4 linked regions of the Pelodiscus sinensis genome follow. The protein of the gene in region 1 binds, or shares a complex with, the protein of each later gene. Links are inferred from orthologs where the notes say so. Each region holds a gene or a part of one and is shown in the gene's direction. Other genes may lie near its edges.

Region 1 (7,497 bases):
AGGCAGTGTTCCCTCTAAGATTTTCCAACCATAAGCAGAGTGAGTTTTGGCTTTTTGAAGTCATGTGCACTGATTTGGATGTGTGCCACCATGGCACCAAATTTATTAACACACACATGTTCCCGGCCGCTGGAGCAACCCCCCCTTCCATGCAGCATGTTCCATTCCCAGCCACTGGAGCAGACACCCCCCACTCCACTATGAGGCAGGGCCTGTTCCTGGTGCCAGCCACGAGAACAAACGTTTCCCCTCCCCACCTACGTGGAAGCCCTGGCCACCAGAGCAAGCTGCTCCCACCTCCCCCCGCCCTAGTGCTCCCTCATTATGGTGTCTCAGCTGGCCCTGCCCTCCAGAGCAGCTGCCTGTGCAGCTCTCCAGAACAGGTTGGCGGGGGAAGAATTTTTTTGTGTGCAGCCGCCCAGGCATGCACCTTAGTGGGAACTATGACCCTAGGTCACAACTCCTTCCTGTCCCAGGTCACATCCCAATCTCCTGCACCCCAGACCAATGCCCCAGGTCACAACTACCTCCTTCACCCAAACTCCCTCCCAGACCCCACTCTCCCTTCTGCACCCCAATCCCTTTCCCCAAACTCCCCTCTGCACCCAACTTCCATCCCAGATCCCGCATCTCTGTTGATATAGAAGAATGCAGTCCTTGACCACTTACCAAATTCTTGGAGTGGCCCCCTATCAAAAATTCTTGCCCATCCCACTGTACAGAGCAATGGAAAATTAATACTAACAGGCTGCGTCTAGACTGGTAAGTTTTTCTGCAAAAGCGGCCTTGCCAGCTATCTACACTGGCTGCTTGAATTTGCACAAGAACACTGACGATCTAATGTAAGATTGTCAGTGTTCTTGCGCAAATACTATGATGCTCCCGCTCAGGGATAAGCCCTCTTGCGCAAATGCTTTTGCACAAGAGGGCCAGTGTAGACAGATAAAAACTGTTTTGCACAAAAAGGCCCTATGGCGAAAGTGGCGATTGGGGCTTTCTTGCGCAAAACCATGTCTAGATTGGCACGGACGCTTTTCCGCAAAAAGTGCTTTTGCGCAAAAGTGTCTGTGCCAATCTAAATGCTCTTTTCCGCAAATGCTTTTAACGGAAAAACTTTTCCGTTAAAAGCATTTGCGGAAAATCATGCCAGTCTAGACATAGCCACAGTGTTTTCCTTGGGTGGTGTCAACTTTGGCTGATATCTCACTCCTGAAGGTAACAGGGACAGAGAGAGCACAGCTGCTGCTGGTGTCTCATTGCTACCCAGGCCCAGATACTGCTAGTCTGTGTGCTATGATACCTACTAAATCACTGAATGGCATGGGAGAGTGTTGTGCCATGGTGGGAGAAGTAAGGCAGCCCTCCCTGGGAGTCTTTGGCAGAGGATTGCAGAGTACCTCCATGAAAGCTTTACTGAGATCTTTATGGAAGATTCACAGGATATCCCATTGCACATAAACACCGCACTGCTAACTCTACTTTTCTGGTTTGTTTCACTACTACTTCTAGCAGAAATGGAAAAAAGAGTAAATCAACAGCAAACTACATACTTATAAGAAGTTCTTTCCCCTGCATTAGGCTCACTTGCATTTGAGTATCAGGAGTAGCTGGATTGCAATGGAGTCAAAAACACATCCTGACTTGCCACACAGATGGATTGCATGTAGTCAGTCCCCCATGCTTCTCCTCGCTGTTCATAGCAGGGGCTGTGTCTGGGACTCCTCTAAAGTATCCATGAGACTTGGAGGATGGCATGCAGCTTTTTATAAAAGAATCAGGTAGGTAGCTCTGCATCAGATTAATTATTGGCCTCCCTTGCCTTCTAGGGTCATGAAATATGGGATGACTTGGGGCGTGGGTGTGGGTGTAGAATCAAATTAGTGAGGGCCAAACAGGGCTAAAAGGATGGATAGGAACGTGGGGCCAGGAGAGGTCACTGGATAGGGGCTGGGAGAGTTGATAACTGGACTCAAGGAAATTGGAGGGGGATTAAAAAAGACCTGAGGGTGCTGGATCACAAGTGGAGGAGAATGAGGGGGCTTTGGAGATCTAGGGAAGCCCTGTCCTTCTGGGTGGGGAGCTCAGATCAGGCATGTTAGGAGCCACGTGTCAAGAACACACAGCTGAAATGGGGATGAAGAGTTGAGAGCAGACATGCTTAATGCATATCATAGAGACTCAAGCTTTCGGGAATGGGGATGGTACACTCATTGAGATGAAGGGAAAAATTCACACATCTTAGAGCTGTTGTTTCAAGATGTATTCATCCCTATGGGCTGTTCTGATTCAGCAGACACTGGCTACATCTAGACAGCACTGTTAAATCAGAAAAAGATACACAATTTGAGATTTCTTTCACTGGTCCTGTTAGCAACTACATGCTCTAAATATTCAATATTATCATTGTCCCCATTCCAGGATACCATTTACCATACCATTTACCTTCCCCCACCCCCCCATCCCCCTTCTGTTCTGAAATTAGATTTGTCCTTTTCATAGGTGTTCATTTTTTTGATTGTATCCTTTGGTATATATGGTTGTGACAATTTTCTTCCACTATTTGATCTGAGGAAGTGGGTCTGGCCCACGAAAGCTCATCATCTAATAAACCATCTTGTTAGTCTTTAAAGTGCTACATAGTCCTGTATTTTGTTTCAGCTACACCAGACTAACACTGCTACATTTCTATCATTATTATTATTTGTGTAACTGTAGAACTGAACAGGACTAGTCATGGTCCAGGACCCACTCCACTGTATATGATGGGGGTGGGGGGAAGCAGATTTATTGGGTTCCTCAATAAAGTGGGGAGAATAACTCCATGCTCCTGGACGGGGAAGGGCCTCAGGCAAAAGGGGCAGAGCTGGAGGCATCAGCACCGTCCAGAGCACACTGTGCTCGCCTCTCCACCCCCTGCCAGTGCTGAGAGCTGCCTGGAGCATGCTGTTTAGCGCTCCAGCAATCATTTAAAGGACCTGGGGCTCCAGCCACTATTGCTTCTGTGGTAGTGGCTGACAGCAGTGGTCCCCTTTGAATTGCCAGGCTCAGAACAGCTGCCCCCTTTACCCTCATCTGTCAGCGGGCCTGACTGTACAAACAAAGAGCAAAAACATAGACTCTGGCTCAAGGATCTTATAGACTAAATCAGTGATGGGCAACCTGGGCTAGTAGGTGGGCTGCATGAGAGACCCTCCATCTCAGTAGGCTGAAAGATTGTTGTAACCAAAATGGATTCTCGGGATAGGGTAGTTTTGCTAACAGTGCTTGCAGGGTGGAAGGTTTTGCAGGGCCCTGGGCAACACAATTTTACGCCCCCCCCCCGCTTTGACACAGCGCATGCGCCATAGCGCATGTGTGGGGCCTCTGGAAGCACGGGGCCCGGGACAGCCACCCCGCTCGCCCTGCCCTATATCTGTCGCTGAGTGCTTGCTCACCTATAATTTGTGGGGTGTGCAGATTGCTGATTGCAGTGGTTTGAATGTAGAGGGAATACATGGCTCTCACAGTCAACGTTGTGTGCAATCAGAACGTACTTCTTGCGCCCTTACTATACGTGCAAAACGCTTTAGTAATACCTGTAGGAAAAAAATTTATGCAGACAGAAGCCAGCAGAATCAGGCAACACTATGCATAAGTCATTCATAGAACTCTGATGGGCTGCATGCGGCTTGCAGACTGCCCACCACTAGCCTAAATGTAAGATGAAAGACATAAAAATTCATATCCCTTTCTTGTTATCCTCTGTAAAGTAACCATGAAAAGCTTTGTTAATGTCTTTTAAAATCTTGCTTAGCTCTTAGCATCGATATTTTTGGGGAATTAATTAAGCCTTACAGAAAAATGTAAGTCCCTTTACTAGATTTTTTTTTTTAAATTTACCACCACTCACTCTCATCCACTGTTCCTATGCTCTATGGAGACAGATGCCGGAGACAAGCCGGGTTCGAGCACAGATCAGGGGCTGCAGGTTAGAATACACACTGATGCAAAAGGCGATGCTACCAATGCATCTCGGCCAGGGAGCGCCCTGCAGCCTCCGCCTCCCCACGACTACAAGGCTGAATCGCCGCCCGTGTCCCGGGGAGAAGCTCTCGGATGCCCCGCAAGCCCCATCTCGGAGCACACACGCAGCGGACATGAGCCCCTGGCTGCAGCACCAGGCACAGGCACTAAGCGTCCAGGACCTTCCCTTCCGCCTCGCTAGGTCTGAGCGGGAGCGCGCAGGTGACCTCTTCGCTACTTCCGCCTCAGTAGGTGTCATGGCGGCAGGGCGAGCCTCCCACGTGACTTCAGGCGGGCGGAGCTCGGTCCCACAAGCTCTCGCGCAGCCTCGCTTCCCCCCGCCCGCGTCCCCCTCTCGCCCTGGCCGCTCGCGCAGCTGCTCGGCTCTTGCTATATAAAGGGGCGAAGCGGGCAGAGCGGGCGGCTGGCGGCGGCGGCTGCAGCCCGAGGGCCGGCGAAGGAGGCCGGGCCAGGCCGCGGGGCTCCCCGTGCGCCGGGGCGGGACGCGCGGGGTCGGGGGGACGCGCCGGGCAGGTTTATTGTTTTAGGGGCGACTCCGCCGCGGTGGGGTGTCCCGGGGGGCTCGGGACATGGCGAGCTCGTCTAACACAAACCCCGTGGTAAGGACCGGGACGGGGAGGGAGCGGGGGGGCTCGGGCGACAGGCGGGCCTCAGAGCCCCCCGCCATCCCTGGCCGGCCCCGCCGCGGGAACGGCCGGCCTGAGCGGGGCAGCGCCCCCCAACCAGGAACCAACTTCTGCCGCCGCTGCCGGGGAGCGGCGCCGGGACCCGCCAGAGCCGGCGGGGTGGGACGGGAGCGGCGGCGGCGGCGGGCAGCAGCCTGTCTCCCAGCCAGGAGCGCCGAGGGGGGAGCCGAGTGTCTCCGTCGCCTGCACCGCCACAAGGCTGGGGGGCGGCTGGGGAGGGGGCGAGCGGCTTCCCCTGGGGGGAGAGGCTACCGGGGAAGCCAGGCGCTGCCTCCTGTGCCGGGGGAGGGGGCGGGCGGGTGGCGTATGTGGAGGCGAACTCAGCCTGGCGCTGCTGGAGCCATTTTATGTAGCTTTATAAGAAGGAGGCAATGGTTGAAAAGCACTTGTCCCAGCCCTGCAGACTCGGCTGACGGAGGAGAAACCCCCCTCCAGTCTCTTCCCCGTGGCAAGGAAGTAATTAAAAAAAACCCGAACAACTCACCCCTTCCTCCCCCTTGTGCTTTCTGCACTCTCGGCGGTGGCTTGTTTTACTTGTATTCACATAGATGTGCAATAAGCAGTCACATAAATCTTTGTAGCCGCCAAGCCCCACCGATCGCTTCTTTCCCTTCCCTCTGACAAGAATAAACCCATCCACAAGCCTACCCCCGAAAAGCTGCCGACAAACCCCAGTCCGGGCGGTTACGGTGCAGGCTTGGCCCCCTTGTTTGTGTTTCGCTGTGAGATCCATCATGGCTTCCCCTGCCTTTCTGTCTCCCTGCTCCTTGTGTTCCTCCTCCCTGTGACTGCCCTGTTTATATAGAGCCATTGCCGCTCTCTAATATAGACTCTGCCAGGATGGGAAGGTGCTTTCCAGCCCCACGTCACCGCCTCTCCATTTAAACACCACATCAGCCTTTAAATAGGGAGAGAGCTGCTGGGAGGTGCATGCACCAGAGGCAGAGACTGAGAGAGACACAGACACGCTCTTTTTGTCACTCAGTTCCTGCTTTTTCTGCTTAGCTATTAGTCCCTTCCGTATTAGTCTGCAGTTCGTAATCCCAATTGTTGAAGCTGTGGAATTTTAAAGTAGCAGTTGCTTATCACTCTGTTTATTTAGGTTGATGATTGATCTTTTCTAAATTAGGCAGTATTCTTTCCTTTTTGTGTGTTGTTTAGTGGAGGAGCACCAATCCTCACCCTATTTAGAAAGTAATCTGGAGTCCTTAGCTATTAAACAATGCAACAAATAGTGCCTAGTATATAAATGTCTGCCCTCTTACATGTCTTTTCTGCTGTGGTAAAGCTGTAGTTGAAATAAAATTATTCTTATCTAGTATTTTATAGAGAGAACTGAGGCTAGCTATTTAATGATACTTAGCAAAAGTTTACTTAAGGGTGAAGTTTTACATGTTTAAATGTTGGCAACATATTGTAGTCTAATGTAGTTTAAAATATCTGTTCCAGATAATAAAGTTGAAGGTTGTGCAGACATGTTATTACTCTCCAGGAAGAGCTAGAATTTGTTAAAAGTTTTCATAATTTTTGTGGACATAACATAATATCAATTGTGCAAATATTTTATTGCATCAGATTTTAAATACCAGGTAGCCCTCTATAGCATAAGAGCCACGCTTATGTATGTGAAAAAGGATGTCTGTTGCCTTTGTATTTTCTTTTGGTTTCAGTCAGTGAAATTAGTCAGCTATTCTGTACATGGCAATTTATTATATGTCCAGTAAGTGGCATGTAGTGAGAATAAATGTCAGCAGACATTCAAAGAGCATAGACTGTAATCACATTGATAGTTTCAGGGTTTATTATTTTGTAACAAAGACCTACTTAGGCTATGTAGTACTAGCAGATGTACCTGGCATTGCTTGGTCTTTAGTAATTTTTTAAATTAAAAAAAAGTACATGCTTTACTTAAATGACAGGGCTCAGGGCAGGAGGTTGAGTGTGTGGGGTGCTTGGTTCAGGAGTTAGGGCAGGGAGCTGTGAGATGTGTGGCGGGCTTAGGGCAGAGGCTCAGGGTAGGGATGTAAAATCCTCTTTAATTGGCTAACCAGCTAAACATATTGTTTAATCGATTAAAAGGGGGAGGATGGGTGTGCTCCCCCTTCCCACTGCTGGGGGAGAGAGAGGGGACACCCCTCCCTCCTTCCCTCTGCTGCAGCCTGGCCGGTCCCTGCCTGCAGGGTACCCTGCGGGGCTGCGGACAAAGGGTGCTCTGACTGGGACAATGGAGCAGCTCTTCCTTGTGACCGGGTCAGGGCACCTCAGAGACAGGGACTGCTCTGAGCATCCCAGTCACAGCAGCCCCTGCCTGTCCATAGCAGGCCCCCTGTGAGGCTGGAGCAGCCCCTACCTGCAGCAGATGGAGAGCTGCTTCAGCCTCATCTGTTCATCTTAACCCACAAGGAGTATTGGTTAAACCTTCGTATCCCTAGATCAGGATATGGGGTGGGGTGCCTCAGGATAGTGGATGGGGTGCAGGAGTCAGGGCAGGGGACTGGTTGGGGAGCTTAGGTTGCCGGGTTCTGGAGTGAGGGCAGAATGTGGGGGCTCAGGGCAAAGGGTTGGGTGTAGGGGAGTCAGGGCAGGTGTTCAAGTGTGGGGGGGCTGGAGGCAGGGGATGGGGGGACTCGGAGTAGGTGAGGGGGAAGGAGTGAAGATGGGACTCGAGGTAGGGGTGCCTCGCCTCTGAGGCTTTGCTCTGGCGCTGGACCGCTTTGCTCCCGGTGCCCCTGGTTTGCTGGAGACGGTCCCCAGCAGACCAGGGGCACCGCGAGCAAACCCGCAAAGC
Region 2 (7,199 bases), on another chromosome or scaffold:
TCCTGAATTCTGTCAATAGTCTTATAGCTGACTCCTCCCAGAGCTGAGCTGGTTCAACATCTATGTTGTTCTGCTGAAGGGCCATTACCGTAACACTGTGACTTGTTTGGGGAAGATCAGAGCTTCTGGAACAGCAGGATAGGGTGATGGGGCACTCCAAAGGGCAAGTCGGCAGGCTCAGTGGCATGACCAGCACACCAGGTGACAGCCCAAAGGGAACCTGTCACACACTATTCTCAGAAGGTGTGGAAGTATTGGGGAAGTTTATAGGGCAGGGCTTAAACTGGTGCAAATGATTATAAATTGTCAATGGATTTCAATGGAATGAGGACAATTATACCTAAAAGCCTGCCCCAGTGTCAGCGAAGCCAATATGGAAAGGAGGAAAAACCTGGCCTATTTGATTAAGGAGGATATGAATCTCTTTGGCAGTGTAACTCTTATTAGGTTTTTTCTCTGAAACTGTTCAGCACCTTTTTCACTTTGTTACTGAGTCATTTGCTGACAAGATCGAAGAAAGAGCAGTCCCTGGATCAGTTTTCTTTCTGATAAAATGTCTGTATCACTCATGGTTTGAATGAAAACTATTATCCATCATCTCTTTTTTGCCTGGAATGGGCTGAGCTATGGAGTTCAGATCCTGATCTAAATCTGAATTTTCCCAGACTCTGGAGTGTTCAAATTCAGTGTCCCTTATAGAGATATGCCTCAGGTATCACAGCATCCAGAACCAGAAGACATTCAGATTCCACAGCAAGAGGTAACGTATAAAAACATAGATCCACAGAATTCATGGAGGGGAGCTGGAGGATACATACAGTGTTCTGGTTTTGGTCCATCTATAGTGCTGGTGAAATTCTTTTAAAGGCCCAGTTAGTAGTAATAATAGCTTACATTTAGCTAGTATCTTTTATTCTGAAGATTCTCAAAGGCCTTTGTGAACTATATTCATACAGCAATCATTACTGATATAGCCTTTGAGATGACAAATAGCTAACAGAAAATGTGCACGTAGTACTCAGAACAGATGAGAGTAGAACTAAAATACTGCCCAATCAGTGAGCAGATACAAAGCCTTGCTCTTATGAAAACTGCCAGGAAATCCTGAATTTCCATGCTGAGTGGATAGGATTTCAGGTTTAAGGTAGGGGTGTGAAAAGAGTTAGAAGCAAGTGAAGAAAACGTACTTGTTGAATGTTTGAATTAAACATATATGGCTATCTTCCAGTAAATGACAAAATATGTTTTCTCTCATTTGGTTTACCTGTACTTGGCACAGGATGCAAAGAAGGAAATAATAAGTGGCTTTTTTGTTGCTGGCCAGAGATGCTTTGGTCCTTAATACAACTCTAAGCAGCTGCAGGGATGTTCTATGTTACCTGTGGTCTCCAAAGAGCTATACTGGCAACCAATGATTAGTGAGCCATAGCAATACATTGGCTATGCCTCTTTTCACTCTGGGAATAACCTTTACACTAATTGTTGGAGGGGAGGGGATAGTATAGAAGTAGTGTAGTGATTCTACAGCACTCTGGAGATTTTCCCTACATGGAAAAACTCCTCAATTGGCCAATTAAGTTGAATTTACAGTCCCTCTGTGTCAGCAAAACTGTACAAATGAGCCAGTGTGGTGATGAATCTGTCCTTCTGTCTCTTAGAGCAAGTTTCTTCTGTTCTATTGTTACACACCCACATTATGGAAATATTTTGTCATTAATATTCAGTGAGCACCATCTACTTTGTGTATAAATCCAAACACAAGTCAAGAGCCATCTGTTTAATATAATTCAGCATTTCAGTTTTGTGTGATTATATCTGATCTGTTTGACCTACCATGTCAGCGCTGTTTGTTAACTGTAATTTTACCTGATGTGGGAAATTCTAGGATGCTTGTGAAAAGAAATGTGTGTGTATGCGCATACGCGCATATATACATTCCATTGTATTGTAAAATAACAATTCATGCATGCTATGTTTTATTCCCTTTCTACATACAACATCTCACTTTCCTGGGGATTTCTCTGAGTAAGGGTAAATACTGAAAAGGTATGTTTCATTAAACATGCTAGGATTTGCAAAACAAATCCTCATTTTTGGGAGGTTGTTTTTTTAGCTTTGGGAGTATAAGAACTATATTTAATCATCCTGAATCTAAAATCTACAGCACTGGCTCAAGGAATCTTGGAAACCTCAGGGTTTATCTTGCAGAATTTCCTCTGTACACTGGCCCCAGGAGCAAGAAGTTTTAGTGACCTGAGGGAGGCAGAAGGCATAGTCTTCATCCCTGTAGATCAGTAGTTCTGGACATTGTGACCAACTGTGTGCTAGATCTTTGTGACAGGTGAAAACTTCTCCCTCTTAAGTATGTTTTCATTGCCTTCTCAGCCTGCATCTATGCCACCCTTACCCCTTTCTAAGAGGGCTGCTGACATAGTGCAGGTTGGACAGTGTTAACTCCTCTGAGTATATTTTCCCCGATATCCTTTTGATTCTGAGGGAAGCATACATAAGTTCACTGTAGTCCACAACAAAACTCCTATTAATTTTAATGATAATGCCGTTTTTTTTGTCCGTCGATTATTTTTATCTTGCAAATCAGTACTGCCAGTCCTAAGACTTCAGGCAGCACTGAAAGAGGCTTGTTACAGTGCAATCTCTTGAGCCCACTTGGTTATATGAAAAATTCAGAAGTAAAGGCTCTGTAATTTAAAACCTAGTAATGTATTTCCCCTGATTTTACATTTATTGTATATAAACAGGAACAGAAATGGAAACACAGAGCTCAAACTCTCAGCTACTGGCTTCCGATTCTTCATCTATGGAACAAAACACTGGAAAGTGAAACATAAGGTTAGGATTTTAAATAAGAAATTAATGAAAATGCTTCTTTATTGCCCCACTTAATGTAGTTTCCATGGAAACAGGACTGGATAGGCTGCCTGTAGCTGGAACGGAAAATTCTGCCTTGTCACTTTCTGCTCTGAGCCACCAGCTGAGCCAATAACACTGCCATATTTTTCCTAGTTTTTAGCACCTTACATGAAAACAATGATTTCTCACAGAGCAACTTAACTGGCCAAATTAGTATTGTTAGCTAAGTTTGTTACTTGGGCATTTAGCCTGTTTACTTATACTACTTAACTAACATAAAAATTTAAAAGGAGGAATGTAATGCATATTCAAATTACTAAATCACAACACCAGATTACTGTCAATGTCACTTGAGTTGAAGAAATTAATTCCATGTCATTTTTAAACAGTGGGCAGGTGCAACCTGAACATATGGTTTGAGCTATTTAGACACAACTCCCACCATTCACTTACTGTTTGGTTTTAACAAATCACATTGGGTCATATTAAAAGATGCTGAACTCTTCCTACTTCATTGTGCTCATCCCTTCACAGGCTCAGTACCTAAGCCTCAATTAACAGCATCTGTGAATCCTGCCTGGGGCAAAACTTCAAGATACTGAACATCCTCCCTACTGTGTTCAAACAAGGGCATCCACACACAACCTTTCCCCAAAGTAAGTGACAGTGGGAATAGAATAATAGTTTACAAATAACTGGTTTTCAGATAGACAAACCCTTCATTTCATTTTTGGGCTTTCGGAGATGCAATGTCTGAGTTTCAAACATGGAAGTGGGTGATTTTTTTGCTTAAATACACCTATTCCCTTAAAGGTTTTTAACTTAATGAAAGCTTGCTTTTAACCTGAGTTTTGGGCTAAATCTGAGTTGACAGCCTGTTTCTCATCTCCTGTCCAGGCTCTGGGGATGCTGCAGAGTGGCTGGCTTTTACAGGAATGATGGTAACCCATTATTGATTCACACATCGGCTTCCCCCCTGCTGCTGGAGTAGCTACCAGGTTGTTTCTATGATAATCAGTAGGTAATTTCCTACCAGCAGGGCACGGCCCCACTCCAGGCCTGGCACCTCTGAGGGGTCACGTCTGTCTCCCCCCACATACAGCTCTGTCCCAGGAAGGAAGCACGGCCAGGAGCCCAGCTTCTCCAGGGCCCTGTCACTCAAGCTACCAGGGGGCGACTCCCCTCTAGGCGCTGACCTGCCAGCTTGGGGGTGTCCCCACCACAGTCAAACCTCCCTGCAGCGCGCCGGGCGGCCCCTAAGCCCCCCAACACCCGGGGCGCCTCCCCCGCCGCCAAGTGCCAGTCGCTGCCCCTCCCCCTCCACGCCTGCCAAAGGAAGCGTGAGGGATCAGGCCTTTTCTCGGGGGGGGGGAAGGGAGGCACTCCCTCCTCGCTCCGCTTTGCCGCGGAAGTTTGGCAGCGCCGGGCCGCCGTAGACGGGGTGAGCTGTTGATTCCTGTCCGGCTGGATGCAACGGCCATTGTGTGCGGGCGCCTCGAGCTCGTTCCGCGTGTCCTCGCGCCCCTCGCCCGGGCCGCCATGAGCGAGAAGGGGGAGCTGGACCTGACCGGGGCCAAGCAGAACACCGGCATGTGGCTGGTGAAGGTGAGAGGCCGCGCGGGTCCCGGGCCCGCTGCTGCTGCCGCCGCCGGGACGGGGCTCGCCTCCAGAACGCAGCGCGGCGGGGAGCGAGGGGCTGGGGAGATCCCCTGGGGAGGGCCCCCGACGGGCCGGTGGCGCTGCAGACGGGGCCTGGCGGCTGAGGCGGTGTCCCCGCCGGTGCGGTGCGGCCTGGCGTGACCGTCCCTGAGCGGCGCCGCTTCCCGCCGGGGCCCGCCCGGCGCGCAGGAGACTCCCCTTGGCCGCCCCCACGGTCTCCGGCGGGTCCCGCGCGCTGCTGCGGCCTCCCTGGAGCTGCGGGGACCCCGCCAAGCGCGAGCCGATGCAGAGTCAGCGGGCAGGTGCCCCGGCCTCTCGCTGCTTTGTCAGGCGCCGTGCCCAGAGCTGCGAGGCGCCAGCCCCTTCAGTGGCCGCGCTTGGGAGCAACCCCCTACCGCTCTGTTTCTGTGAGCACTGGCGAGGGGGACAGGGAACGAGACAGTGTAATTGCCTCTCTATGCCAGTAGCATCATGGAAGCCTTGGCAGAAAGAAGAGAATTAATTTTTCCCTTTTCTGTAGCTGGGGTGTGAACTTTAGGCTAGACTTAAGACACTGTTGGGTGGGGATGGATGAGGCTCCCTAGGCACTGTCCCTGGCTTACACCCTGCTAGGAATCACATCGTACTTTATCTTCTAAGACCCTGGGCTACATCTACACTGGCAGCTTCTTGCGCAAGAGCTGTTTTGCAGAACAGTTCTTGGCAAAAAGTCTTCCACAAGGGAGGCTGTGTCTAGACTGGCAAGCTTTTGCGGAAAAACTTGCGAGCTGTCTACACTGGTCACTTGAATTTCTGCAAGAACACTGACTTCCTACTGTCTGAAATCAGTGCTTCTTGCGGAAATACTATGCTGCTCCCATTCGGGCAAATGTCCCTTTTGCGCAAAAGGGCCAGTGTAGACAGCTCAGATTTGTTTTGCGCAAAAAAGCCCCTATTGCGAAAATGGCGATCGGGGCTTTTTTGCGCAAAAGCGCGTCTAGATTGGCACGGACGCTTTTCCTCAAAAAGTGCTTTGCGGAAAAGTGTGTGCGCCAGTCTAGACACTCTTTTCTGCAAATGCTTTTAACGGAAAACTTTTCTGTTAAAAGCATTTGCGGAAAATCATGCCAGTCTAGAGGTAGCCAGAGTGTCTACACTGGCATGTCCTTTTGCACAAGAGATGTGCTTTTGCGCAATAGCGTCCATGACAGTGTGGACGCTTTCTTGCGCAAGAAAGCTCTGATGGCCATTTTAACCATGGGGCTTCATGCACAAGAAATTCATGTTGCCTTTCTACACTACCCTCTTGTGGAAGAGCTCTTGCGCAAGAGAGCTTATTCCTCATGGGGAGAGAAATAACTCTTCTGGAAGAAGCCCTGTTTTACAACGCTATACTGTAAATTTACTCCCACAAGAATGTGCGTGCAGTGTAGACAGCAGGCAAGTTTTTGCGCAAGAACAATTGTTCTTGCGCAAGAAGCTGCCAGTGTAGACATAGCCCTGGGGTCTTATCTGCATTAAGAATTTTCAGGATGACACAGTAGATGAGCTTCAGGAGATAGCCAAGTTAATCAGTTACAGAAAAAAACAACAAATGGTCTGGTAGCACTTTATAGACTAACAAAACATGTAGAAGGTGGTATGAGCTTTCGTGGGTGCAGCCCACTTCTTCAGATGATCAGAGTTATGAGTAGGGGATATGAAAACTCAAAATAAATAGGAGAGGGAGAAGAAAAAGAAAAAAAGAGCAGCAATAGAAATTTTCAGAAAAATCCTTAATATAGACATAGTCAAGGAGTGGGCTTGTCATTAGGTCTTGGAATTTGCTCTTTCGTGTCAGTTTCTGGATGGATTTTGCCCATGAAAGCTCATGTTACCACCTACATGTTTTGTTAGTCTTTAAGGTTCTACTAGACTATTCATTGTTTAAGTTTTTCTAGTTTCTGCGTAGTAGGTTTTATGAAGCCTTGTTGAAAATGGGTTGATCCTACCTGTGCTAACCAAGGAGTTTTCAAATGAGGAGATGAAGATATAAGGGGGACCCTAGGCTGTGTCTAGACTACACTGCTGTGTCCACAAAGAGATATAGATTAGTCACGCCGAAATTGCTAAATATCCGGCACTCCATTAGCATGGGCTCCCCACCCATGGCCACGGCTTTTTTTTTTTTTTTTTTTTTTTTTTTTTTTTGAAGCGGGGCTTTTTTGGGAGGGGGGAAAAAAAGCAGTCTAGACGGGGATCTGTCGAAAAAGGCTTTATTTTTCAATGGATCCCGTCTAGACTGACTTTTTTTTGAAAAAGCTCCGTTTAGAAAAAAAGCAGCAGCCATGTTTATGCTAAGGAAGCATGGGATATTTAAATACCTGCTTCATTAGCAATTTCGACATGCCTAATCTACATCTTTCTGTCGACAGAGAGGTATAGTCTAGATACAGCCCTAGTGTTCATATTGATTATTAACAGAACTTTCCTATGTATACTCTGTATAGGAGGAGAACTGGAATAGCAAGAACTTTTTATGATTCTTCACAGATAGTTGATGACATGATGACATGACTTAAAAATGACTTCCATGACTGGTATGGACCAAGTCTATGGTCTTTTAACATTTTAATTCCTTTATATAGTAGGGATGTGAAAAGGTTATCTGGTAACTGCTGCAGGCAGGGGGCTGCTTCAGTCTTGCAGGG
Region 3 (7,435 bases), about 81 Mb from region 1:
CAATCTCACACACACACACTCTCCCCTCATCCCCCCCCAAGGGATTATGAAAAGAAAGCCTTCAGACACATGCCTTCAGTTTCTGAACTTTGCCAGCAGGAGGAGCAGGCATATATTAAGCCACCATCCTGCAGTACAAACTACAAAAGGAGAAGGTCACAGAAGACACAGCTTTTCAACATGGCTAGATGCAGAAATTCACTTGCCCTCAACACATTATAAACCACTTTAGGGAGTGTGCATGCAGGTCTCTTAATTGGCTGAATATTCTTTAATCCTCTCATTGGATAAGCAAAGGTGGCCTGGGCAACGAGCAGCAGACTGCAATATTCCACAGAAAGTGCTTTACAGGAAAGAGTAGAAAGGAACATCTGCCTTTTAAACAAACATGTAGGATATAATGGGTCATTGCTATAGTATTTTATACCTCAGCCCAGCTGTACTTTGCAGGTCCGCCTCCCTCCAAAGTCCTCAAGGTGTGTTTAACCCCAAGAGTGTTAGTGGCAAAGCAAACACCAGTAGCCTTTGAAAGCTATGCCAACAGCAAAGATAATCTAAATGTAACTAAGAAATGTAATGCATATGTCAGAGGGCAGGTTATACATATGTCTGCAGTTTCACAACAAAGCAGCACAATGGGCAGTCTGCTTTAGGATATACCCCACACACACATTTTTGGAGGGGGTTGGCATCACACTTCTTTACTCCTCAAAGAAGTAACTTAGCCAGTCAGAACCTCATGCAGAATCCCTGAACCTGTTGCTTCATATGGTTCACTACTAGTGACCCTGCCAGAGTGCTCCCGAACAATGAACTTAAGAGGCTCATCTACAATTGATATTGCATCCTACAACCTCCAATAACAGTCCAAAGCCACAAAGATCTGGGGAGTGCCACTTACTGATAGTAGTAGGAGACCTGGAGAATGGGAGAGCGTGAAAACTTCTTGGCGTGAGATGTAACCACACACTTCTAGGAGCATAAAGAACTCCAGTATTTGCAAAAGGAGATATTTATGTGGAAGACCCAATTCAATTTAGCACCAAAGAGTACGGTTTGGTATTAGAACCTATAAAACACTTAAGATTAGAGGTGCTGGAAATGGGGAATTCCACCCAATAAGGTAGCAAAAAATCACCCTAATAAAAATGTGCCAAGATTAATACCTTACTGACTCTGCTTCTTAAAACACAACACACAAATCTTTTAAACAGCCCGTTGTGGGTTGGCAGGCAAATACACTCAGGAAAACAAAGGACATGCAACGTTCTGCATAAAGTGTTCTCAAATGTAGCAGTCTATATGGTTCACAGAAAACAACAATACTTAAATTTCATAGGATCAAAGTCATTAGAGACATAAGAGATGTATTAGATCATTAAGCCCATCACACAGCCAGGGTAGGCTGTACACACAGGACACCTCTAATGTTAAAAGTAACACTATGGCAAGAGCACAGTGCTGTTTTCTTGATGAAGATGCACATGAGGAGTTCTTATTCACACAGCGCATAGTCAATCTGTGGGACTCCTTGCCTGAGGCGGTTGTGAAGGTTAGGACTATAACAAGGTTTAAAAGAGAACTAGATAAATTCATGGAGGTTAAGTCCATAAATGGCTATTAGCCAGTATGGATAAGGAATGGTGTCCCTAGCCTCTGTTTGTCAGAGGGTGGAGATGGATGGCAGGAGAGAGATTGTTTGATCATTACCTGTTCGATTCACTCCCTCTGGGACACCTGGCTTTGGCCACTGTTGGCAGACAGGGTACTAGGCTGGATGGACCTTTGATTTGACCCAGTATGGCCATTCTTATGTTATGATGCAGCAGCTGAGAATTAACTCAAAGTTGCTGTCAAATTCAGTTTTGTCTTCCTTAAAATTACCACAACTTATAGGCAAAGCCTGGACTTACCTGTAGTGTTGCCACTCTGCCACGAAAACCCAGTACCTCCCCTCTCACTCTCCCTCCCTACTTTCTGCCTGCAAATACACTTCACAGTTCTGCGAGAGAATTTCTGTAGAGCCCCAGTCCTAAAAAGGTATCAAATCACAATCTCTAAATTCACCACAGACACAAAATCAAAGGAGAAAAATATACAATAAACATGCAAACAGTTCTCATTGGCCTAAGAATCTATGGCTGGCAGCAGTTCGCATTGATGCCAAGTCAATTCATTCTGTTCCGTTATCTTATTGAAGATAATTATTGTTCCTGGGATTGCAAAATAATAGTCTGTTTGTTAGTGCTTAGAATTGTAAAACCACTTATAAACAATCCCAAAACCCATTTGTTATAATGGAAGTATTTGCTCTTCTACAGTTCAGATTCAGTCCAGAGTTTGTGTGTATTGGGTCAATAATCCATGTATTTAAAAAAGAGTCACGAAAGATGTATTAACATAAGCTGAGCATTAAGACAATTATTTATATGCTGGGCAGTAATGGGACCACACTATGCTTTGTATTAAATCTCAGATAACTTCAGAAAATTACCACTTCAAATAAAGAAAATTAGCATAATGTTAATGTTGTAACACAAGTGAGCAGTAAAAATGATCAATATTCATACTGATTCTCTATCCCACAACCTTCCTACCCAAAACAGAAGAATGTGCCCTCAAAGCAGGTAGCAACTATACCTGCTTGCATTCTCTAAGCACAACAAAAACACATTACCAAAAGCCTCTTAAGTTTTGGTGTACACAGCGTGATCGTTTTTCACCTTGTCTACCCAGCCCTGCAACTCCTTCTCAGTGGGGCATGACCCTTTCTTTCCCTGTCCTTTTCCCTAGATATTGCAGATGCTTCCTAACAGTGCATGATGGAGTTCTATTGCCTAGGCACAAGGAAATGGGCCAAGAATGGTGTGTGCCAGTGTTAAATTAGAACGTTCTTGCTTTGGCCACACATTGTCTTTTAAATTTATATTAACAACATGAGTCACATTAACATCTGTCCCTTATAGGGCCATTTTCAAGTTTAATTGGCTCTAATTTAGATTATGTAAAAGTGAACTCTCTTACTGAACTAAAATAATTATAACTCTCCCTATTTTGTTTCCCTTTTAATTAAAACGGTTGTTTTGAACCAGTAAATATCCCCCTCCAGGATTAAAAATTCACCACTAACAACATGGAAGTGAAAATGACAATAAACAAGAGTAAAACAATCCACACTGATTTGCTTCAGTCAAGCTGAGAGAAGGATAAACTGTACACAGTGACAAGTAACTTGGATTTTTTAAATAATTTCTAATTTAAAACTTTTACATATTATTAGTAACCACTAACCCCATTTGCTTGCTATCAACAATTGATGTCCGCTTTAAAATTGGCAGAATATATGCCTTTTTTATACAAATGCCTCCACAATTATTTGTAGGTGACCAAATTCAGAAACTTCACATTTAATACAAAAATTATTGAAATGTAAAGTAGCACATCAGACTTCCCTCTCTGCAACAGTAGGGTGCCCTGGGGCACACCTCCGGTTACCTTTGGGATGGTTACTTCCTCTTGAAAGATCTGTATTTGTACAGAATAAGGGTTTTGGGGGGCATCAAATATCAGCTCTATAAAATCTGGCTTGGATAGAGACTCCTTCCCTTAGGAAACGAAAGCACGGTATTAATAAAGTCTTAGGCAGCATTGTGAAACCAGGCTGGATTAATTTCCAAGGGCAGTTTTTGTGTGGCTGTCTGTGTTTTTTAAGTCTCTCCACGTTGCACTCTGTGGGGTTTGTTGTTTGGTTGGTTGCGGGGTTTTTGTTTTTAATTCTTAGCGTGTCATCACTGTTTGCAAGCCGCCTTGGGAGCATCTCTTCGCAAATCACTCCCGAGCCCTAGGGACAAAGGCATCCCACAGCGAGCGGTACCCAGAAACACCCCGCGTCTTGTCCTACCTCTCCCCGCCCTGAAACAGCAGAGGCTGGTGAATCCCCTGAAGGACCCAGGAGAAGCCCCTCTCCAGCTCTCCCTCGCCTCCCTGCTGCCCCACCACCAGGCGCACAACTTGGTGCCGAGCTGCAGCCACCAGTTGCACTTTCCACTCATGCACAAACCCAAGCACTAGCTGGGGAGGGGGACCTTACTTCTTCTCAGTCCCTTTACTAAAGCCCGAGCAACAAGTGTCCGCCCGCTGCGGAGAGCGCACGAGAAGCATAAGAAAGGAAGAGCGATACCTGACACTGCGCCGCTGCCGCAGCTGCCGCCAGCCTCTGGGCTCCGCTGCTCCAGCTACTGCGGAGGCTGCTGAACACTCCGAGAGCGCCAGCTGCCACTCAGCGCCGCAGCCGCGCACGCGAATCGCGAACGCTCCCCGAACGAGACTATCTTGGGCCAAGGGAGACGCCGTCGAGTTGGGACGTACCATCCCGAAGCCGGGGAGCTGAACGCGCTAGGCCGTAGGTCGGCCGCTATCATCTCCGGTGGCACTGTTGCGTCCTGGGTACGGAACACCCCCCCACCAAATAGGGAGGAGTGGTATCGCCGGCAGAAGGACAAGTCTGCTGCAGTTGGAGTGCACTTCCCGGACGCGGCGCGCGGCCTGCTGAGGTAACGGGACAGCGATAGACCCAACCACCAGCTCCGCGGGCTCCCTCCCCTGAGGGGCCCCACTACCCGGGGCCCTCAACCTGCTTGGGAACGACCCGCGCTCTGGCCTTAGAGACACCCCCGGGACTGGCGTCCCCCCGGTCTCTGGCTTCGCGCGCGCCACAACGGTCTTCCCGGGAGCCTCGAGTGTCCGGCTGCTGCGCGCGCGAGCTCCCGGCGCGTGGCGAGATGGCCCCTGGCCAGCGCAGCGTGGGTGCGTGTGAGCGCGCGGCTCCCGCGAGCCCAGGGCCCGTGAGGAAGCGGTGCGGAGTTCAGGGACCCGGGGGGGGGGTCTCGCTGAAAATCCTGAAACCCGGCGCCGCCTCTTGTGCCTGCTCTGACTGGAGATGCAACTGGCTAACAGCTGCCTGGCACGCTCCCTCCCCCCTCCTTTCCCCCGCCGCCGCGGGCTTGGCTTGGCCCGGCCCGGCCCGGCTGGGCTGGAGCAGTGGGTGGGGGCTGCTCGTGCCCTTCTTGGCAGGGGGAATCCGGGCTAATCGGTTAAATGTGACATCTGACCGGTTAGCTGATTTAAATGGGATTTTACATCCCTACTCTGAACAAACCAGCCAGGAGCAGCTGCCTCCCCTCCCCGCCTTGCCTGCAAAACGCTGCTTGGATATGGCACTTGATCCACTCAGCTACTGCCCCCTTGTTTCTCAACTTCTAATCCAGGTTGGACTGACAGGGCAGCCTGTAGCACATAGGTGCCTATGCTCTGCTTAAACAAGTCAAAGATCTTACCTAGGTGACCCAAGAGTCCTACCTACATGGGTCTCTTAGCAAGTTTACCATTCACTATTGGAGGGAAAGGCTCTAGCAATGGAGAGCTGCCCAAGCCTTTCACTGTGCTGTGTAGGTGCATACAAACGAGGAATGAGAGTGCACCCTGCCTTCCACCACCATAACTACTTAGGTCTGTAATGCCTGTTCTCTATTCACTCTAAGTGTGGGCAAAGCATCAGAGGATTTTGTTAAAATTGTTTGAACTGAAACTTGCCATAGCCTTTAACTATCGGTGTCTGAACTGAAAGACTAATGCATAGATGCTCTTATATGAGGTTAACAATCCAGGAGTGTGAATAAAATAAACAGGACTGTTTATACTTGGGTGCCTGAACTGACCCTTTCAGCTGTGTTGTACTCTTGAAATTCCCACCTCCCTTTTGCCCAGTGTGAAAAACTTACGTAATGATATTTTACAGATACATCAAATGCATTCCAAGATGTAAATGTAAGTGGTAACCATGTTATTTGGTTAATGTTTTGACAGTCACTGCAAGAAAATGATTATTCCCGTCAGATGCTTCACTTGTGGCAAAATAGTTGGAAATAAGTGGGAAGCATATCTTGGCCTTCTCCAAGCAGAATATACAGAAGGGTAAGTATTTCTTTATGGTCCTTGGCCCTGATCTTGCAAACAGTTACTGAGACTTGGTCTATGCTAGGGAAGTAGAGTGACATAAGGTGTCTTATGTTGACCTAACTGTCTTTGTCTACACTGCAGTGATGCTTCTGCTGCTGTAAATCACCCACTACATCAACTTAATAACTCCATGTTTGTGAGAGACATGGTGCTTAGGTAGCACCGTATCTGTGTAGACACTGGAGACCAAGCCCCAGTGCTAACAGCCTGAGCTGTCATGTCAGTCAGGCACCATTTTGATGCTACCCCACACTTCCTGCACATTCAGCTGGGCACCGGGCTCATACCTTGAGCCTCCTGCCCTGGTATTGACAGTCAGAGCTGGAGAGGGCATGAAATAACAGCAGCCATAAAACGGACAAGAATGTCCATTTCACTACTGGTAAGCTTTCTGCTATGAAATTGACCTCAAGCCCCAGGAATACAGGTGCCACTCAATTCTGCTGTCGGTGCCCCACTGGTAGGAAGAAGGTAGCATGATCAGTGATATCAGATTTAATTGCTGTGGTGGCTGTAGGTTGACCTAATTTTGTAGACAGGCCCTCAGTGCTTATGCATTGACTTTATTGGGGTAGCGCCTAAATTTATGTATAAGCGACAAGGAGTCCTGTGGCACCTTATCAACTAACAGATGTATTGGAGCATAAGCTTTCGCGGGCTAAGACCCACTTCCTCAGATGCATGCGGTAGAAATTTCCAGAGGCAGGTATAAATATGCAGGCCAGAATAAGACTAGAGATAACGAGGTTAATTCAGTCAAGGAGCGTGAGGCCCACTTCTAGCAGCTGATGTGGTGTTCACATCTCCACATCAACTGCTAGAAGTGGGCCTCACGCTCCTTGACTGAATTAACCTCGTTATCTCTAGTCTTATTCTGGCCTGCATATTTATACCTGCCTCTGGAAATTTCTACCGCATGCATCTGAGGAAGTGGGTCTTTGCCCACGAAAGCTTATGCTCCAATACATCTGTTAGTTGATAAGGTGCCACAGGACTCCTCGTCGCTTTTGCAGATCCAGATTAACATGGCTACCTCTCTGATACAGTTATGTATGTAACTATTCACAGGGTTTAGTTTGCTTTTCCCTGTCTCCTAAATATAGGACTTTTTACTAGCTCTACATCTTGTCTGTAAAGTGAACAAGGGCACCAAATGCTTGATTTTTTTTTGATTTTTTTTCATCTTTTTTTTTTTTTTTTTACCCCCCAGGGATACTGGGCACTCACATCTTATGAAAGTTAGTAAGTGTTCAACAATTTAGAAAAAACTACCCTGTCTGCCCTGAAGGGAGAGCTAACATGGAGACTTCACCATAAAGCCTACACCACATTCCTTCAACCACACAGATAGGGGGGAAAAAGCTGTTGCCATCCCACTCTGTTGCCTCTGATACAGAGGCAGCAGTACGGAGTGGTA
Region 4 (7,778 bases), on another chromosome or scaffold:
TGCAAGGGGACAGCGCCCCCTACTGGGCCCTCAGACTGTTTCCTGCAGCACAGCGCCCCCTAGTGCCACACTGGGGTAGCACTGACTGCAAGGGGACAGCGCCCCCTACTGGGCCCTCAGCCTGCTCCCTGCAGCACAGCGCCCCCTAGTGCCACACTCGGGCAGCACTGACTGCAAGGGGACAGCGCCCCCTACTGGGCCCTCAGACTGTTTCCTGCAGCACAGCGCCCCCTAGTGCCACACTGGGGCAGCACTGACTGCCAGCACCCCCTCTGAGCCTCTGTCTCGCTCTATGTGCAGCCCAGGGCCGCTTCCCACTACTGCCAAGCCCAGTCTCGGGTCAGTGACGGCCCGGCTGCACTCACTCCTCTTTCCATTTCCAGACCTCGGCCAGGAATTCCCCTCGGGTCAGGTCCTGGCGCAGGGCGCCCCGCTCCTTCCACAGCTTGCGCTCCACCACCGCCTGCCAGGAGGGGAGCAGGGAGGGTTACCAGAGAGAGGGACACACACACAGGACAGAAACAGCCACCCCACCCCAGAGCTGGCTGCATTTCTGTGCTACGAGAGCAATTCCTGCGTGGCGTTGCTGGGGGCTGTAACCCCCGCCCCCAGCCAAGAGCTGGCTGCATTTCCATGCTACAAGAGCAATCCCTGAGCAGCGTTGCTGGGGCTATTCCCCCTCTCCCCAGTTGCCCCACCCCAGAGCTGGCTGCATTTCCATGCTACAAGAGCAATCCCTGAGCAACGTTGCTGGGGCTATTCCCCCTCCCTCCCAGTCGCCCCACCCCAGAGCTGGCTGCATTTCCATGCTACAAGAGCAATCCCTGAGCAGCATTGCTGGGGCTATTCCCCCTCCCTCCCAGTCGCCCCACCCCAGAGCTGGCTGCATTTCCATGCTACAAGAGCAATCCCTGAGCAGCATTGCTGGGGCTATTCCCCCTCTCCCCAGTTGCCCCACCCCAGAGCTGGCTGCATTTCCATGCTACAAGAGCAATCCCTGAGCAGCATTGCTGGGGCTATTCCCCCTCCCTCCCAGTCGCCCCACCCCAGAGCTGGCTGCATTTCCATGCTACACGAGCAATCCCTGAGCAGCGTTGCTGGGGCTATTCCCCCTCCCTCCCAGTCGCCCCACCCCAGAGCTGGCTGCATTTCCATGCTACACGAGCAATCCCTGAGCAGCGTTGCTGGGGCTATTCTCCCTCTCCCCAGTCGCCCCACCCCAGAGCTGGCTGCATTTCCATGCTACAAGAGCAATCCCTGAGCAGCGTTGCTGGGGCTATTCCCCCTCCCTCCCAGTCGCCCCACCCCAGAGCTGGCTGCATTTCCATGCTACACGAGCAATCCCTGAGCAGCGTTGCTGGGGCTATTCTCCCTCTCCCCAGTTGCCCCACCCCAGAGCTGGCTGCATTCCTGTGCTACAAGAGTAATCCCTGTGCAGAGTTGCTGGGAGCTGTTCCCCCCAGGTGCTCCACCCCAGAGATGGCTGCGTTTCCATGCCGATTCCCTCCACCATAGCTTGACCTACACTTCAAATTTCGGCTGACCTAGCTCCGTCCCTCAGGGGTGTGAAAACCCACCCCGCCCAGAGTGCTGCGGCTCTGCCGACCGGACCCCTTGGGCATTTGTTGCTGCTGCTTGGGGAAGCGGGGTTCCTCCTCCGACAGCACAAACCCTTCCACCGAAGCCGCGGCTCTGGGCTCACCTGAGTCGCGATTCCGGCGTGATCCGATCCCGGCACCCAGAGCACCCGGCAGCCCTGCATCCGGCGCCTGCAAGGCAGGTAGGAGACACACGCTAGGGCCTCTGTGTGCCGCAGCCGGCCTCAGGCCCCCGCAAACTGGAGTCAGCGCCCCCTAGTGGAGAAAGGCCGCACGGCCCATTCCCCACCCCTCCGAGCCCCAACTCACCATCGCACCAGCGAATCCTCGACGGCCACCGTGAGGGCATGGCCCAGGTGCAGGGACCCCGTGACGTTGGGCGGGGGGATGCAAAGGGAGAAGACGTCTGGTTTCCTATGGGGCTGCCGGCTCTGAGACACAGAGAGAGAGGCTGTTTTCACCAGCACAGTGCCCCCTAGTGCTGCATCGGGGCCAGCACGGATGAAGTGAGACGCCCTGCCCCCCCCGCTCCTCCCAGCACAGCGCCCCCTGGTGCCTCCCGGAAGGGGGACGACCTGCACTGACTGTGAGGGGACAGCGCCCCCTACTGAGCTCCCTGCAGCACAGCGCCCCCTAGGGCAGCTTTGAGCCCTGCCACAACTTATGCCAGTGATGGGCCTCTGATCCCAGGGGGACGTTTTTACCTGATATTCGGGTTTGAAGAATCCTTCCTTCTCCCACCACTCGTACCATGCGGCTTCCACGTAGCGGGGGCTGTACGAGGCCGGCAGGGGCAGGGACGTGTCTAGGGAGAGAGCCAGCGTTCGGTGAGCCACGACCAGAGAGGCCCCTCACAAAATCTTTATAGGCCCGGGGGGTAGAGGGGTTATATTTTCCCAGCATACCTTTCTTCTGACCAGCGGGAGTTGGGATGTCGTACAGAACCACCTCTTTCGGGGCCCACGCCTTACCCTGCCCCTGAGGTACCTGGGGAAACACCAAAGACACCCAAAAGGATGGCAAGGTATGAACCAGGCACCCTGCTGGGGACGAACGCATGGACCGGACTTCATCACGCAACAGAACAAGAAGATATTTAACGGGTGTGTCATTTATCACAGAGGAGATTTACGCTGGGGTTGCTCTGGACTGACCATGCAGCCACTTCTGGGGTGGAGTGGCCGGGGGACAGCCTGCAGCAACGCTGCCTAGGGGTTGTTCTCGGGGTCCAAAAATGCAGCCACTTCTGGGGTGGCACAGCTGCATTGGCGTCACAAGGGAGTGTTTCGTTTCACTGAAGACAGGGTCCTGGGATGAGCGCTGACTGCAAGGAGAGCGCCCCCTACCTCCTGCCTCCGGGCCACTCCGGCTTCAATCGACTCCAGCCTCTCCCGCTGCCGCCGCCGCTTCTCCGCCTTGTTCCTGAGCTGGGTCATTTTCCGCTCCAGCCCCTCGGGGTCGGATTGACTAGCCTGGGAGGAGGTTCTCCATCCACACGGGGCGCCTGGGGGCCGGGGGCCAGCCCGGAGCAGCAGCCGGCGGAGGGAGCTCAGAATCCACCCGGTGCCGGAGCCAAGCCAGTTGGGCGCCATGTCCAGATGTGAGTGGCTCGGACCACCTGCTGGTTGGGGGGTGGGTCCCCGTCTCCTGGCAGCTCCCACCCCACACAGGGGCTGGTGAGGGGGCAGCACAGGGCTGGGGAAGGCACCTGCTGGGCACAGAGAAGGAGACAGGATTTAACACCCAGGGACCTGTGTTTTCTGCCTCCGGTGCCTCCTCCCACTCACACCACTAGACCCCACTCCCCTCCCAGCTCCGGGGAAAGAACCCAGGAGTCCTGGCTCTCAGCCCCCACTCTAACCACTAGACCCCACTCCCCTCCCAGCTCTGGGGAAAGAACCCAGGAGTCCTGGCTCTCAGCCCCCACTCTAACCACTAGACCCCACTCCCCTCCCAGCTCCGGGGAAAGAACCCAGGAGTCCTGGCTCTCAGCCCCCACTCTAACCACTAGACCCCACTCCCCTCCCAGCTCCGGGGAAAGAACCCAGGAGTCCTGGCTCTCAGCTCCCACTCTAACCACTAGACCCCACTCCCCTCCCAGCTCCGGGGAAAGAACCCAGGTGCCCTGACTCCCAGCCCCCACTCTAACCACTAGACCCCACTCCCCTCCCAGCTCCGGGGAAAGAACCCAGGAGTCCTGGCTCTCAGCCCCCACTCTAACTACTAGACCCCACTCCCCTCCCAGCTCTGGGGAAAGAACCCAGGTGCCCTGACTCCCAGCCCCCTTATAACCCACCTGCCCCCCCAACTTGGACAGGGAGAGAGCCCAGTAGTCCTGGCTGTTGCCCCTCCGCTCTAACCACTAGACTCTGCTCTCCTCCCAGCTCTGGGGAAGGAACCCAGGGGTCCTGACTCCCAGACCCCTCTCTAACCCATCTGCCCCCCCCCTTGGCCAGGGAGAGAACCCAGTAGTCCTGGCTCTCAACCCTCCCGCCCCGCTCTTACCACTAGACCCCACTCTTCTCCCAGCTCCAGGGAAATACCCCAGGAGTCCTGGCTGTCACCCCCCCCCCTTGCTCTAACCACTAGACCCCACTCTTCTCCCAGCTCCAGGGAAATACCCCAGGAGTCCTGGCTGTCACCCCCCCCCCTCCCTGCTCTAACCACTAGACCCCACTCTTCTCCCAGCTCCAGGGAAATACCCCAGGAGTCCTGGCTGTCACCCCCCCCCCCCTGCTCTAACCACTAGACCCCACTCTTCTCCCAGCTCCAGGGAAATAACCCAGGAGTCCTGGCTGTTGCCCCCCCCCCCCCGCTCTAACCACTAGACCCCACTCCACTCCCAGCTCTGGGGAAAGAACCGGGAGTCCTGGCTCCCCCGCGCTCTAACCACTAGACCCCGCTCCCCTCCCAGCTCTGGGGAAAGAACCGGGAGTCCTGGCTCCCCCGCGCTCTAACCACTAGACCCCGCTCCCCTCCCAGCTCTGGGGAAAGTCCTGACTCCCAGCCCCCCCCCCCCCCCCCCTGGGCAGGAGTCCTGGTTCCTACTCCGCCCCCCCCAACCTCACCTGGCATTGTCCAGCCCCGCGCAACTCCCGCCCCGCCCCGCGCATTGTGACCTCACCCCCAGCCCGCCAATCAGCGCAGGGAGCGAACGCTTTGCTCATTTCCTATCCGCCCCCCCCCCCGCCACGCAGAGCAGGGGGCGTCGCATTGCATGACGGGAAGGGGAGTTTCGCGGGGGGTCTCCGCGTGGAGCCGCGGGCAGGTGGATGGAGGGAGCCGGCAGGGGCCGCTGCGCAGGAGCGAGAGAAGGTGGGTCCCCGGGCGGGGGGGGGGCAGCGCTGGGGATATGGGGGGCACAGAGGGGGCTGAGTCACAAAGGGGGCAGATCCTAGGGGTGTGAGTGGGGGGCACAAAGGGGAGTTGGGCTGGGGACAGAAAGGGGACCCTGTGGGGGGAGGGTTAGGGGTATAGGTGGGGGCAGAAAGGGGAGTTGGGGGGGCTGGGGGCAGAAAGGGGACCCTGTGGGGGGAGGGATAGGGGTATAGGTGGGGGCAGAAAGGGGAGTTGGGGGGGTCTGGGGACAGAAAGGGGACCCTGTGGGGGGAGGGTTAGGGGTATAGGTGGGGGCAGAAAGGGGAGTTGGGGGGGGCTGGGGGCAGAAAGGGGACCCTGTGGGGGGAGGGTTAGGGGTATAGGTGGGGGCAGAAAGGGGAGTTGGGGGGGTCTGGGGGCAGAAAGGGGACCCTGTGGGGGGAGGGTTAGGGGTATAGGTGGGGGCAGAAAGAGGAATTGGGAGTCTGGGGACAGAAAGGGGACCCTGTAGGGGGAGGGATAGGGGTATAGGTGGGGGCAGAAAGAGGAATTGGGGGGGGGTCTGGGGACAGAAAGGGGACCCTGTGGGGGGAGGGTTAGGGGTATAGCTGGGGGCAGAAAGAGGAGTTGGGGGGGTCTGGGGACAGAAAGGGGACCCTGTGGGGGGAGGGTTAGGGGTATAGGTGGGGGCAGAAAGGAATTGGGGGGGTCTGGGGACAGAAAGGGGACCCTGTGGGGGGAGGGTTAGGGGTATAGCTGGGGGCAGAAAGAGGAGTTGGGGGGGTCTGGGGACAGAAAGGGGACCCTGTGGGGGGAGGGTTAGGGGTATAGGTGGGGGCAGAAAGGAATTGGGGGGGTCTGGGGACAGAAAGGGGACCCTGTGGGGGGAGGGATAGGGGTATAGGTGGGGGCAGAAAGGGGAGTTGGGGGGTCTGGGGGCAGAAAGGGGACCCTGTGGGGGGAGGGTTAGGGGTATAGATGGGGGCAGAAAGGGGAGTTGGGGGTCTGGGGGCAGAAAGGGTGCCCTGAGGGGGGAGGGTTAGGGGTTTGGTTGGGGGAGAAAGGGGAGCTTCAGGATGGAAAGGGGGCCCCTGTGGGCTGGGAGGGGGAGGGCAGAGCCTAGGGTTATAGATGGGGGCAGACAGGGGCGCTCTGGGATGGGAGGGGGCAGACCCATGGGATACAGGTGGTGGAGGCAGAGAGGGGAGCTTGGGGTCTAGGGGCAGGGAGCCCCCCCCCCCCGGGTGGGTGGGGGCAGAGCCTAGGGATATAGGTGGGGACAGAGAGGGGTCCTTTCCAGTAGCAGGTCGGGCAGACGGGAGATGGCCAGGGAGCAAGGGGCCTGAATGGGGACCCTGTGAGCTGAGCCCTTGGGCGGCCCCCCAGGAAAGATTCAGACACCTCCCAGCTGATTAGCAGAGCACCCCTAGCCGGCAGCATGTATTTCGACTGGTGGTGCACATCTGTACATGTCGTGGTGCATGGCACAAAATGTATTCTACACACAGATGGAAAAAATTAGAGGGAACACTGATGGGGAGCATTGGATTGACATTGCTCCAGCTGTGGGGCTATGGGCTCCGAGCCCTCCCCTCGCATATGCTGCCTTCCTGGCCCCCCATCCATGCCCCCACTTCCCCATCCAGGGCTCCGTTTGTCCCCCTTCATTTGAGCAAGTCTTTTGTGAAAATGGATTGTTGTATGTTTGCTCAAATCACTTTTTGCAGCCTCCCCCGCCCCAGCCAGTGAGCCAGTCAGCTGCCCTGCTGAAAAGCGATCATAACAAGCATGCAAATATCCCTTTTCATGGGAATAGACTGAGCAGCTAGCAAGCCTTCAGAAAGAAAGCCACCCACCAAAGAAACAAGAGCGTAAGACAAGAACATGCAAAGCACCTGATCTGTGTTTCTTATCCGCATAGGCCCAGTAAAAAATAGATATTTGTATTATTGAGCCTGCAAAGCAAAGCAAACCAAACCCGGCACCATAAAAAAGAGCCAGTGACTGGGAGGTGGAGCTGTGCGTATTTATTTGGTTTTTTTCCCCTGGAGCTAATTAAGTATTTTAGGAAAAACTTGTCAGAGCGGCCACCCGCAAGAGTTGAGGCTCGCAGGCTGAGACCACCCACAAATGTGTTGCCTCGCCCCATTGACCTGTCACCTTTCCCTCCCCTTGGAGATCTCTGCTCTGGTCTCCCGTCGGCCCTTGTTCCCAGCTTGCATTGGTTTGGTACGTTTCGCCTTTGTGCTTTCTGCCCCTCATGCTGGGGAGAAGAATAAGAGCGGCCATTCAGCCTTATCCTGTCTTCTGACAGCGGCCAATGCCAGGTGCCCCGGAGGGCATGAAGAGATCAGGGAATCATCAAAATGATCCCTCCTCTGATGCCCACCTCCAGACAAACAGAGGCCAGGGACAGCACCACTTCCCGTCCTCCGTGAATTTATCTAGCTCTTTTTTTGAACCCTGTTGAAGTCCTGGTCTTCACCACATCCTCTGGCAAGGAGTTCCTCAGGTTGACTGTGTGTGAAGAAAAACTTCCTTTTGTTTTGTTTGAAACCTGCTGCCTGTTCATTTCATTTGTTCATTTGCCCCCAGTTCTTATGTGATGGAAACAAGTAAATCACTTTTCCTCCTTCGCTTTCTCCACACCTGTCATGATTTTACAGACCTCTGTCCTATCCCCCCCTTAGTCTCCTCTGTTCTAAGATGACGTGTCCCAGTCTCATTAATCTCCCCTCCTATGGGACCCGTTCCAAACCCCTCATCATTCTGTGCCCCAGTCTCCAGAGCTACCCCTTCATCTTACTTCATTCCCTTCTCCATTAGCTAGGATGGGTAGGGATGGTGTGTCTAGCCTGTGTT

What was found.
Region 2: GTF2A1 (region 1) and GTF2F2 share a complex: the UniProt entries of both Homo sapiens proteins name them as parts of the TBP-based Pol II pre-initiation complex. The link is inferred for Pelodiscus sinensis from reciprocal best matches to the Homo sapiens genes GTF2A1 and GTF2F2.
Region 3: GTF2A1 (region 1) and POLR2L share a complex: the UniProt entries of both Homo sapiens proteins name them as parts of the TBP-based Pol II pre-initiation complex. The link is inferred for Pelodiscus sinensis from reciprocal best matches to the Homo sapiens genes GTF2A1 and POLR2L.
Region 4: GTF2A1 (region 1) and GTF2H4 share a complex: the UniProt entries of both Homo sapiens proteins name them as parts of the TBP-based Pol II pre-initiation complex. The link is inferred for Pelodiscus sinensis from reciprocal best matches to the Homo sapiens genes GTF2A1 and GTF2H4.

Annotation. Positions count from the first base shown.
Region 1 is NC_134714.1:38,763,611-38,771,107, forward strand, and holds the start of GTF2A1 (transcription initiation factor IIA subunit 1), read left to right. Parts: upstream 1-4,482; 5' UTR 4,483-4,592; coding exon 4,593-4,622; intron 4,623-5,193; exon of another isoform or gene 5,194-5,672; intron 5,673-7,497. UniProt on the Homo sapiens protein: TFIIA is a component of the transcription machinery of RNA polymerase II and plays an important role in transcriptional activation. TFIIA in a complex with TBP mediates transcriptional activity.
Region 2 is NC_134711.1:286,841,327-286,848,525, forward strand, and holds the start of GTF2F2 (general transcription factor IIF subunit 2), read left to right. Parts: upstream 1-4,188; 5' UTR 4,189-4,410; coding exon 4,411-4,476; intron 4,477-7,199. UniProt on the Homo sapiens protein: TFIIF is a general transcription initiation factor that binds to RNA polymerase II and helps to recruit it to the initiation complex in collaboration with TFIIB.
Region 3 is NC_134714.1:119,981,911-119,989,345, forward strand, and holds the start of POLR2L (DNA-directed RNA polymerases I, II, and III subunit RPABC5), read left to right. Parts: upstream 1-4,419; 5' UTR 4,420-4,553; intron 4,554-4,663; exon of another isoform or gene 4,664-4,806; intron 4,807-5,865; 5' UTR 5,866-5,878; coding exon 5,879-5,973; intron 5,974-7,435. Other genes in the region: TSPAN4 (tetraspanin-4), read right to left, coding at 4,181-4,371. UniProt on the Homo sapiens protein: DNA-dependent RNA polymerase catalyzes the transcription of DNA into RNA using the four ribonucleoside triphosphates as substrates.
Region 4 is NC_134742.1:11,749,498-11,757,275, forward strand, and holds the start of GTF2H4 (general transcription factor IIH subunit 4), read left to right. Parts: upstream 1-4,768; 5' UTR 4,769-4,913; intron 4,914-7,778. Other genes in the region: VARS2 (valine--tRNA ligase, mitochondrial), read right to left, coding at 366-463, 1,703-1,769, 1,908-2,029, 2,303-2,403, 2,504-2,585, 2,945-3,309, 4,667-4,673. UniProt on the Homo sapiens protein: Component of the general transcription and DNA repair factor IIH (TFIIH) core complex, which is involved in general and transcription-coupled nucleotide excision repair (NER) of damaged DNA and, when complexed to CAK, in RNA transcription by RNA polymerase II.